Linked DNA regions of Macaca fascicularis. The protein of the gene in region 1 interacts with the protein of each later gene in a pairwise test. Links are inferred from orthologs where the notes say so. Each region holds a gene or a part of one and is shown in the gene's direction. Other genes may lie near its edges.

Evidence for each region.
Region 2: the proteins of TRAF3IP1 (region 1) and KIF5A interact in a two-hybrid assay, tested with the Homo sapiens proteins (2 studies listed by IntAct). The link is inferred for Macaca fascicularis from reciprocal best matches to the Homo sapiens genes TRAF3IP1 and KIF5A.
Region 3: the proteins of TRAF3IP1 (region 1) and FRMD4A interact in a two-hybrid assay, tested with the Homo sapiens proteins (2 studies listed by BioGRID and IntAct). The link is inferred for Macaca fascicularis from reciprocal best matches to the Homo sapiens genes TRAF3IP1 and FRMD4A.

The regions. Positions count from the first base shown.
Region 1 is NC_088386.1:134,234,944-134,238,690, forward strand, and holds the start of TRAF3IP1 (TRAF3-interacting protein 1), read left to right. Parts: upstream 1-1,142; 5' UTR 1,143-1,298; coding exon 1,299-1,421; exon of another isoform or gene 1,422-1,449; intron 1,450-3,747.
Region 2 is NC_088385.1:64,384,540-64,388,186, forward strand, and holds part of KIF5A (kinesin heavy chain), read left to right. Parts: intron 1-1,751; coding exon 1,752-1,940; intron 1,941-2,322; coding exon 2,323-2,440; intron 2,441-2,769; coding exon 2,770-2,834; intron 2,835-2,951; coding exon 2,952-3,061; intron 3,062-3,439; coding exon 3,440-3,541; intron 3,542-3,647. UniProt on the Homo sapiens protein: Microtubule-dependent motor required for slow axonal transport of neurofilament proteins (NFH, NFM and NFL). Can induce formation of neurite-like membrane protrusions in non-neuronal cells in a ZFYVE27-dependent manner.
Region 3 is NC_088383.1:14,582,591-14,586,237, reverse strand, and holds part of FRMD4A (FERM domain-containing protein 4A), read left to right. Parts: coding exon 1-414; intron 415-1,102; exon of another isoform or gene 1,103-1,562; intron 1,563-2,486; coding exon 2,487-2,583; exon of another isoform or gene 2,584-2,646; intron 2,647-3,647. UniProt on the Homo sapiens protein: Scaffolding protein that regulates epithelial cell polarity by connecting ARF6 activation with the PAR3 complex. Plays a redundant role with FRMD4B in epithelial polarization. May regulate MAPT secretion by activating ARF6-signaling.

The DNA.
Region 1 (3,747 bases):
AGGTGGAGGTTGCAGTGAGCCAAGATCGCGCCACTGCACTCCAGCCTGGAGGACAGTCAGACTCCATCTCAAAACAAACAAACAAACAAACAAAAAAGGCTGGGCGCGATGGCTCAAGCCTGTAATCCTAGCACTTTGGGAGGCCGAGGCGGGCGGATCACGAGGTCAGGAGATCGAGACCATCCTGACTAACAACGGTGAAACCCGTCTCTACTAAAAATACAAAAAAAAAAAAAAAAAAAAAAGAATTAGCCGGGCGAGGTGGCAGGCGCCTGTAGTCCCAGCTACTCCAGAGGCTGAGGCAGGAGAATGGCGTGAACCCAGGAGACGGAGCTTGCAGTGAGCCGAGATAGTGCCACTGCACTCAAGCCTGGGCGACAGAGCGAGACTCCGCCTCAAAAAAAAAAAAAAAAAAAAAAAAAAGAGTTATAACGGTGTTCATAAGAAGAACTACAGACCCCAGAGCTCTCAAATCGCTGGAAGGACTTCTGCGGTGGGCCTGTGCATGATGCACAGAGGACAGGTGGGAAAGAATCACAGACACCTAGTAAGACAACGGGGCATGGCTTTGTCCCGGTTTCAGAGCACCGACACATTTAGTCACCATTTACCTTCCTGGGAGGTAGATTAGGCAGGGGGCACACTAGCCCTGCTTTGTAGGAACAGAAGTAGAGTCTCAGAGAAAACAAGTGACTTGCCCAAGAAGCCTTATTAAGTACCAGCCAGGACAGTGTATTTTCTATTCCTTGTGTTTTGGGATAACTTAGTACCGTCCCCTCCGATGAACCAGTGCCTGCAAAAGCCCTTGAGATCTGGGAAACAGGAGGCACAGATCTTGGAGTTTACCTTGTTCTTAATCAGTCCTCAGGCAGTCGCCTCTAACGCGAGCGAATACCCGCTTCCCGAGGCCGTCACTGGGCAGAGGAGGGGCCAGGCTCCGGATCCCAGATCCCCTTTCCCCGCCCCGCCGTGCCACGCCTGCGCGGGCACGGCCGCCCGCCCCCAAACCCCTCCCGCGGAACCCGCAATCCTGCCTGCGCGGGCGCGGGACTGCGGGCAGGGGGAGGGGCATCGCGGCGCGTCCGTTGCTAAGGCCGCGCAGCCCTAGCGACCGAACGCCCTGCGGCGGCCGCGCAGGCGCTGTGGTGGGCTCCGGTGCACTGTGGGATGGAAACCGGAGCGGCGCGTCCTGGCGGGACCGGGCGGCGGCGGCGGGGCCGGCGGCGGCCAGGGACCCGGGCTTAGGCTCGGCCGGGCCGGCTGAGGACGCAGGCGGCCAGCGGGCGGCGGGCGCCGTCATGAACGCGGCGGTGGTGAGGCGGACGCAGGAGGCGCTGGGGAAGGTGATACGGAGGCCGCCGCTGACAGAGAAGCTGCTGAGCAAGCCCCCGTTCCGCTACCTGCACGACATCATCACGGAGGTGGGCGCCGGGTTCCGGGCCCGGCCAGGTGCGGGTCGGGGTTCCGGTGGGCGCCGAGGTCAGGGCCCAGGCCGGGTGGCGCCGGGTGCGAGCCGGGCTCGGGCTCAGGTGCGGGTGGGGGGCCGGGGCTGGGCCAGAGTCGGGGCCCGGGCCGGGTGTGAACCCGGTGTGGGCCGAGCTCGAGGTGCAGGTCGGGGACCCGGTCAGCGCCGAGTGTGAACCGAGTGTGGGCCGGGCTCAGGGTGCAGGTCAGGGGCCGGGTTAGGGCCGAGTGTGGACCGGGTGTGGGCCGGGCTCGGGGTGCAGGTCGGGGACTGGTTCAGGGCCGGGTGTGGGCCGGGCGCAGGGTGCGGGTCGGGGACCGGGGTGAGTTCCGGGGTCGGGGCGAGAGCTCTGTGCGGCCCCTGCCCGGGAGCCCGGCCTGTAGGCCCAATTCCGCGGCGCCCTCCACGCGGAGGTCCTGCCCCTCCCCCGGCTCCGGGCCGCCGCTTACAGGGAGGCTCCGGGCCCTCGGGGACCATTACTTCTTCCCTGCCTACCGTGTGTCTCCTTAGTGCATCTTCCATTCTGCCTGGCAGAGCTGCTTCTGTGACTCCCACCTCATCTAACCCTGCAGAACCCTTCTCACTTTCCCTGAAGCATTTAGCACGTGAAAGGCTAAATCCTGGGAGAATGGAAATAATATTTTTTATACAGCCTTCTGCCCCGAAGTTTCCCTCCATACCACATTTTGGGTGCTTAATAAATGCCTGTGGGTGAATTTAGTGGAGGTGGTGGTAGGGAGACTTGGCAGGAAAAACTAACAGAGCAGCACACCCTGCCCTAAATTGAGATTGGTGGTCTCTGTAGCTTTTCCCCATTTGCAGATGGTGTGCTCCTCAGTGACGGAGACCCTGGCTTGCTTATTAGTATGGCTCTGGTGATCTGCAGTGGGTAAGGTACATAGAAATTGCACAACAAACATCCCCTGTTGAGTGGGACCTGTCAAGGCTTGTGGTAACTCCCTGGTAACTCTTAGGAGCGTCACTGCGGGGGTTGCAGCACCCATTTCCATGGTGGACCCAAGGGCACGTGGGAACTCAGAGGTGTGTTTTGGGATTTAGGATTCAGGTTGGACTTGCAGACTTCCAGGGCCTCATGACCTCACCTGGTGATGGTCCTCAAGCTCTGTTTCTCACTCTTTTCAACAGATTGGGTGCCTTATTCTTGCACAGACTTTGCTTTACTGGGTCTGCCCTCCTACCTTAGCTTAAACTTGTGGGCTGGAGCGTGTGCCTCTGTGTTAAAACAGTGCCTAAAAATGCTCTCGAATCCACCCACATCCCGAGGCACTGCCAGCCCTGGTCACGTCCTCCCAGCTGGTGCAGCACTTACAGCCTGTCCTGGACAGTGTGTGGGGAGGGGACCTGCTGTGTGGATAGCCCGGTGGGAGCGGAACAGTGTGCCGCATCACCACTGTCCCATGAAATAGGCAGGTACCCGTCCTCTGACCGAGAGGGAACAAGAGCCAATGTGAGCCCAGCCAGCTATAGCTGTGGCTGCCAAAACCTTTATTCTCCCAGTCCTGTCTGCCCCACTGAAATGCAGAGCCCTGAAATGCAGAGGGAGGTGCAGGGAGTGTGCCTTATCCTTGTGGGGCAGTAGTGGCGCTCAGCTCACGGTGGCTGTCCAGTCACTACCACATGGTTGGTCAGAGGCATCCTAATGGGAGAGGAGGAAGAATATGGGCTGGGTGCTGTGGCTCACGCCTGTAATCCCAGCACTCTGGGAGGCCAAGGCGGGCCGATCACTTGAGCCCAGGTGTTCAAGACCAGCCTGGCCAACATGGCAAAACTCCATCTCTACTGAGAATACAAAAATTAGCTGAATGTGGTGGTGCACCTGTAATCCCAGCTACTCAGGAGGCTGAGTAGGGAAGATTGCTTGAGCCTGGAAGGTTGAGGCTGCAGTGAGCCGTGATTGTACCACTGCACTCCAGCCTGGGTGACAGAGTAAGACCCTGTCTCAAAAAAAAAAAAAAAAAAAAAAAAGGGGATTGCTTTCCTGGCCAGGTAGATAGGGTGCGTGGAACGAGCTGCGTGTTCCCAATTAGGAACTACTGGTCTGCTCTTCTCCCATAGACTTCCTCATCTAATGCCAAAGTTGATTTCTGTCCCTGTGTAAAGATAAATAAATTGTCACCTACTTGATAAAGATGTTAGAATGACTGACACATTGGAAAGGATTTTCAGATAATAGATGGGGAGCCTCTCATGAAAATGCCTTGCTGTCCTGAATATTATACACAAATTACTATATTAGTATTTTAGCTATAGCTAAACTAACC
Region 2 (3,647 bases), on another chromosome or scaffold:
AAAAAATGCAAACAATTAGCGGGGCGTGGTGGCACATGCCTGTAGTCCCAGCTACTTGAGAGGCTGAGGTGGGAGAATCACCTGAGTATGGGAGGTTGAGGCTGCAGTGAGCCATGATTGAGCTACTGCACTCCAGCCTGGGTGACAGAGCCAGACCCTGTCTTAAAAAAAAAAAAAAAAAAAAAAATGAGGCTGTACACGGTGACTCACGCCTGTAATCCCAGCACTTTGGGAGCCGAGGCGGGCAGATCACCTGAGGTCAGGAGTTCGAGACCAGCCTGACCAACATGGAGAAACCCTGTGTCTACTAAAAATACAAAATTAGCCAGGTGTGGTGACTCATGCGTGTAATCCCAGCTACTTGGGAGGCTGAGGCAGGGGAATCGCTTGAACCCGGGAGGCAGAGGTTGCAGTGAGCCGAGATCACACCACTGCACTCCAGCCTGGGCAACAAGAGCGAAACTCCATCTCAAAAAAATAATAATAATAATAATTGGGAGGCCAAGGTGGGCTGATCACGAGGTCAGGAGATCGAGACCATACTGGCTAACACAGTGAAACCCCGTCTCTACTAAAAAAATACAAAAAATTAGCCGGGCATGGTGGCGGGTGTCTGTAGTCCCAGCTACGCAGGAGACTGAGGCAGGAGAATGGCGTGAACCCGGGAGGCGGAGCTTGCAGTGAGCAGAGATGCACCGCTGCACTCCAGCCTGGGCAACAGAGCGAGACTGCGTCTCAAAAAAAAAAATAATAATAATAATAAAAAGAAGTAGCAACAGAGCAGTGTTTACAGCAGCAGTTAGAGGTGGGGCATAGATACAGAGTTAAGAATGAAATATGCAAATCTGTGGGTGTGAGAATAATCTGGGTGATTGAGCAGATCAAAATAAAATCATGTTGCTTTATAAGATTTATTTATAAGTGGGGGACTGTCAGAATTGGATTTTTTTTTTTTTTTTTTTTTTTGAGACAGAGTCTTGCTCTGTTGGCCAGGCTGAAGTGCAGTGGTGTTATCTTGGCTCACTGCAACCTCCGCCACCTCAGTTCAAGTAATTCTCCTGCCTCAGCCTCCCTAGTAGCTGGGACTACAGGCACACACCACCACTCCCGGCTAATTTTTTGTATTTTTAGTAGAGACAGGGTTTCACCATATTGGCCAGGCTGTTCTCGAACTCCTGACCTTGTAGTCCACCCACTTCGGCCTCCCAAAGTGCTGGGATTACAGGCATGAGCCACTGAGCCCAGCCCAGAATTGAATTTTTTTTTTGAGATGGAGTCTCACTCTGTCGCCCAGGCTAGAGTGCAGTGGTGATCTCAGTTCACTGCAACCTCCGCCTCCTGGGTTCAAGCGATTCTCCTGCCTCAGCCTCTTGAGTAGCTGGGATTACAGACATGTGCCATGATGCCTGGCTAATTTTGTATTTTTAGTAGAGACAGGATTTCACCACCATTTTGGCCAGGCTGGTCTTGAACTCCTGACCTCAAGGTGATCCACCCACCTCGGCCTCCCAAAGTGCTGGGATTACAGGCGTGAGCTACTGCACCCAGACAGACTTGGATTTTTAAATGCGGGCAGAGGAATTTAACGTGAAATGCCAGTGATAGAGAGCTGCTAAAGGTCGTTTGGAAAATACCAATCCCATTTGAGTCCCTGCATACGTGGGTGTGTGTGGGTAGGTAAAAGGTGGGAGGGAACGGATAAAGCTTCCCAGCAGCCAAGAAGCATCTCTTCCTCCTTTACTCACCCTTAGCCAGTGGAGATCAGTGGGGCCATCGAGGAGGAGTTCACTGTGGCCCGACTCTACATCAGCAAAATCAAGTCAGAAGTCAAGTCTGTGGTCAAGCGGTGCCGGCAGCTGGAGAACCTCCAGGTGGAATGTCACCGCAAGATGGAAGTGACTGGGCGGGAGCTCTCATCCTGCCAGCTCCTCATCTCTCAGGTGAGTGCCTAAGTTTGAGAACCTTCAGATGCCATGGGAGAAAGAAGGCTACTCTGGGGTTATGGCTAAAACTCCTAACACCCAGGTGGGTGTCAAAAGTTCTGGGGTCAAAGTTCTAGGGTCAAGTGAAAGCAAGGACAGAAAAGCTGGGGTGGCAGGGGTGCAGATCAGGGCCAAAAAAGTAAAGGCTCAGGGCGGGTACTGCCTCCTGAGCCAAGGGAGCTAAAGGAAGAGCCCCATAGGAATGGCCCCCAACCCTGCACCCTCATAGGAAGTGTAGCAGGAGGGAGGGCTGCGAGCAGAGCTGGGGTTGGAGATCTGTGCGGCCTGGAGTTGTGTTCTTTGCTCCATCTTCTTCCTCTCACCAACTTTCTCCCACCAGCACGAGGCCAAGATCCGCTCACTTACGGAATACATGCAGAGCGTGGAGCTAAAGAAGCGGCACCTGGAAGAGTCTTATGACTCCTTGAGTGACGAGCTGGCCAAGCTCCAGGCCCAGGGTGAGGCCTTCTTACTCCTCCATCCCACCATCCAGGGCAGAGAAGTCAGAAACATCAAAAGAAATCACCCCAGTGATCACTCACTCAAAGCATTAGCTTGAAATCATGGATGCCAACTCATATATTAGCCAAGATTTTGCATGTAGCTCATTTTACATGAACCATACACCCTTGTTCTCTGTTCCTGCTATATCAAATTGGACAGTCCTAACACAGAAGAACACCCCTGTGGGCCCATCCCCAGTCCTTCCCGGAGTTCTGGTCACAACATGAAGTTCTTTCTGAAAGAAGTAGGTTTGATGTCAGGTGTCTTCCCCTCTTTCCCTTAGAAACTGTGCATGAAGTGGCCCTGAAGGACAAGGAACCTGATACCCAGGATGCAGATGAAGTGAAGGTGAGTGGGGAAGGTGTCAGGGATAGTTGGGGCCTGGTGTGGTGAAAGCTGTGCTGGCTCTCACAGAGCTTGTTTCTGGGAGTCTGGCCTTTGAGCTTGGGGTGGGATTGTTTGCAGAAGGCTCTGGAGCTGCAGATGGAGAGTCACCGGGAGGCCCATCACCGGCAGTTGGCCCGGCTCCGGGATGAGATCAACGAGAAGCAGAAGACCATTGATGAGCTCAAAGAGTAAGGGTTCCCAAGGGCGACTCCAGCCCCTCCCAGTCCTGTCACCTTGCTGTGCCAACTCACATGTCCCCTCTGGATCTGATTCTTTAACATCCGTGTGTCATTCCCTCAACAATGCCACAACTTTGTAGCCCCACCTCAGGAGATACATGGAATAAGGACTAGTCCCTATCCTTGAGGCTCCCAGGGTTAGAGAGGTCAGGGTTCCTGGCTCTGTCATGGAGATGGTGGCCTGAGTCTGCCCCTGGTATCTGAAACTGGACACATCAATTCTAACTGGACTCGTTCAAGAAGGAAGATGTTTGAAGAGCTGGTCTTCCCTTCCCCCTCATTAACATCTTTTTCCCCCCCTCTCCATTACCTCCTGATGCTCTGTAGCCTAAATCAGAAGCTCCAGTTAGAGCTAGAGAAGCTTCAGGCTGACTACGAGAAGCTGAAGAGTGAAGAACATGAGAAGAGCACCAAGCTGCAGGAGCTGACGTGAGTGGCATGGATTTGCCTGTAAGCCCACAGCCTTGTAGGCTCAGAACTGCGAACTCAGACATGCTTGCAGAGGCAGGATACACACGCAGACATGATGGGGTGA
Region 3 (3,647 bases), on another chromosome or scaffold:
TGGTGGTGCGCAGCCTGGAGAGCGACCAGGAGGGCCACTACAGCGTCAAGGCTCAGTTCAAGACCTCCAACTCCTACACGGCGGGCGGCCTGTTCAAGGAGAGCTGGCGCGGTGGCGGCGGCGGCGACGAAGGCGACACGGGCCGCCTGACGCCGTCGCGATCGCAGATCCTGCGGACTCCGTCGCTGGGCCGCGAGGGTGCCCACGACAAGGGCGCGGGCCGTGCTGCCGTCTCAGACGAGCTGCGCCAGTGGTACCAGCGTTCCACCGCCTCGCACAAGGAGCACAGCCGCCTGTCGCACACCAGCTCCACCTCCTCAGACAGCGGCTCGCAGTACAGCACCTCCTCCCAGAGCACCTTCGTGGCGCACAGCAGGGTCACCAGGATGCCCCAGATGTGCAAGGCCACGTCAGGTGAGAAGGGGCGGCCGGGCGCACGTGGGAAGGCCTGGGGGCGAACTGCTCGCTGGTGTCAAGGGCTGCTGCCGGGAGGTACCCTTAGAATTGGGTGCAGTGAGGAACGAGTGTCATTAATTCTGGGAACCCTGCTGTCAGATGCGGGAGACTTGAGGTCTTTCAGGCCTTTGTTGACCCCCCACCCCGCCCCCGCCCTGTTCTTACCCTAATCTTGCATGTAAGGGTGCACTTGATCCTCCAGAGTACACTGGGCCAGCCCCCCCATTTCTCCTTGTAAGGACAGAAATCTAAGAAACTTAGGTAATGTCTCCGGGTTTATCCAACCAAAGGTGAGTCTTTTACCCTAGTGAGGAGAGTATTCCAGTGAAAGCCCACAGCTGCAGCTTGCAAAGGAAACTGGGTTGGGGATGGGCTTGGGTCAAGTCTAAAGATTTGGCCAGTGTCTCCCCAGATGGGGGCAGACTGGCTAATAACCAGAGTGCCAGAGCTGGGCGTTTGACAGAATTCTTGACTGCTCCTGGCTTTCCCTTTTCGATGATGATACGCCACAGCCACAAACTATATTTTTGTTAAGTGTCTTTAATATCCTTGATGGTATGTCTGAAAATTTCCCTCATATTCTTGTAGTCAAGAGCATTGGGTGGTATTGAATCAAGTTTAAAAAAAAAATGGAAGAAACCACCCATTCCTTTAAGTTACATTTAATAACAGTGACACTGACCAACATGAGCAATTGCCTTGTGCTCTGGTTACAGCACTGGCTTATTAACATATTCTTACCACTCAGAGAGGGACACTGAGAAGAACAGAAATGGTAAACATTGTAAGAATAAAATGAGAGTCAGAAGCAAATGGGAGGAACTCTGAGTCAGGAATTTGGCAAAGATCAGGGGAAACAGTGACCTGAGATAATGGGGGGGTTCATCTTTGGGGAACTGGAGGAAATTCTTGGTGCCTGGAGACAGCAGGGCAAAGAGGAAGAACCTGGCTGCCCAGGTGAGCCAGGCTCCGGCATTCTATCCCCACATCCTGGTGGACATGTTTATTAGGGTCCATTGGCCAAATGACAAGCTCCAGAGATCAGGCAATAGTGGGTGTTCCGTGGACTTCAAGGTCCTAGAACCTTCTTTATGCTCCTTCTTCACCTGTAAAATAGCCCAGTGAAATTTGCCATTGACTCCCCAGGAAGATCTTGAGTATGATCATCTGTGACCCTATTAGATTAAGAACCAATGTGTTGTAAATATCTCCAAACAGGAGGGTTCATGTTCTATCAAAATTGCAGCACTTGTCTAGTAGATTTGCTTTATGTAAAGAGATTAGGTAGATCTTTTGGAACATATTTTAGACTAAAATTTTTAAGAAGCTGTATTTGAGGTTTACTGATGGAAAACATTCCATTACCAAAAAAGCAAAGGATGCATTTAAGTAGGATTGACTTCCTACTAAATCTTTCCAACTGGACTTCCATACTGCCTACATCAATAAATGCCTAGTGCTCAGGTTTGGATGAGCTATTAAAAGCCCTAAAAGCCCTGCTCCCTTCAAACTGTACTACAGTAGCAATGATAAGCCTGAAACAGCAGAGAGAACAGGCTCTGAGAACCTTTGTGGATGCCCTCTCTTCACAATGGAGAGAAACAATTTCACAATGGGGCTACACTGAAAATGCCCTGGGGCCAGAGAAATATGTCATCCCTGTATGAGCCCTGCTCAGGTCTCACTCAAAGGACTATGTGGACATCAGGTTCTTTGCTGCTGTTGAAGCTGTCACCATCCCTATGGCCACTTCCTGGTGGCAAAGTGGGGACCTAGGATCCCAGGTCAACTTGACTCAGAATGAAGGTGCATGGTAGTGGGGAGAAAATAGAATTGGTGGGATGCAGAGATGGTTCCCCACTGTGACCATGCCATAGGGATGCCAAGACCCTGCCCTGGGGTCCTTTCCAGTATCCCTGGAAATGGTGACCTCTGGCCACTGGGTTGGTGTCGGCCAACAGGTCACAAGCTCCTCCACCTATGTCTGATCCCTGTCTGCTCTCTGCCTTTCTTGCACCACCTGCATATAGCTGCCTTACCTCAAAGCCAGAGAAGCTCAACACCGTCAAGTGAAATTGGAGCCACTCCCCCAAGCAGCCCCCACCACATCCTAACCTGGCAGACTGGGTGAGTTCTCCTTCCATGTTCTTCACTGTGTCAGCTCGAAAGAGTGTTGTAGATATTCAGATCCTAGTGACATAAGGATAAGTCAGTAAATGGACGATGAGCGTTCGTCACTGGGAAGTGTCTTCAAGAGAAGTCCCATGATCCGCTGTCATCTCTGCCTACTCCTTTCCCTGGCTGTGCCTTTATAGAGGTGAATTGTCTGTGTTCTCTTAAAGTAGACGGTGGTCCTTGGGATGTGGGGAGATGGAAGCAGGAAGTGGGACTGTGCTGCTTTGGTCAGATTTCCAGACAGCATTTGATTTCAGTTGGGATTGTACCCAGGCACGAATGTCAGGGGGAGAAAGAGAGCTGAAGACAGCAAATACCCTGAGAGGCAGGTGAAACGGCCACTGTCTTAGGATGTCTCAGGATGCAAGAAAAAAGGCTATGTCGTGGCCAAGCACTTGCTCTTTATCAACACACAAAGGAGATCAGGCGCCCTGAAGCCTTCAGCGGAAGCTGTACACAGCAAAATAAATGAAACCGACAGGCGGCTCTTTTGATAGCCTGACGAGTTCGCCTACAGCATTATCATCTCGGGGCCAGTGAGGCTGTTCTGACCTAGTGGAGGGTCTGGCAGACACAGGTAACCCACCTGGCCCTACAGCACCTGCCTCTTCTGTTGCCCCTGAGACATCACTCTAAGTAGATGTTAGGTTCTGTCAACATCTGTTGGTTAGAGGAGTAAGGAGTCCCCTTCCTCGGTTTGTCTGGTTCCTGGTTTGGTGGAGCATCAGGGGGATGTCTGGGAAAATCTGACAACTGGCTGTGAGTTGAATCATGAGAAAAGCACAATTCCAGAATTGGCTCTAATGCCTGCCTTTCAGGCTCTCATACTTGGCCGTTTTTTTTTTTTTTGAGATGGAGTCTCACTCTGTTGCCCAGACTGCAGTGCAGTGGTACAATATCAGCTCTCTGCAACCTCCACGGTTCAAGTGATTCTCCTGCCTCAGCCTCCCTAGTAGCTGGCATTACTAGTGTGCATCACCACACCTGGCAAATTTCTAGTAGAGACAGGGTTTCAC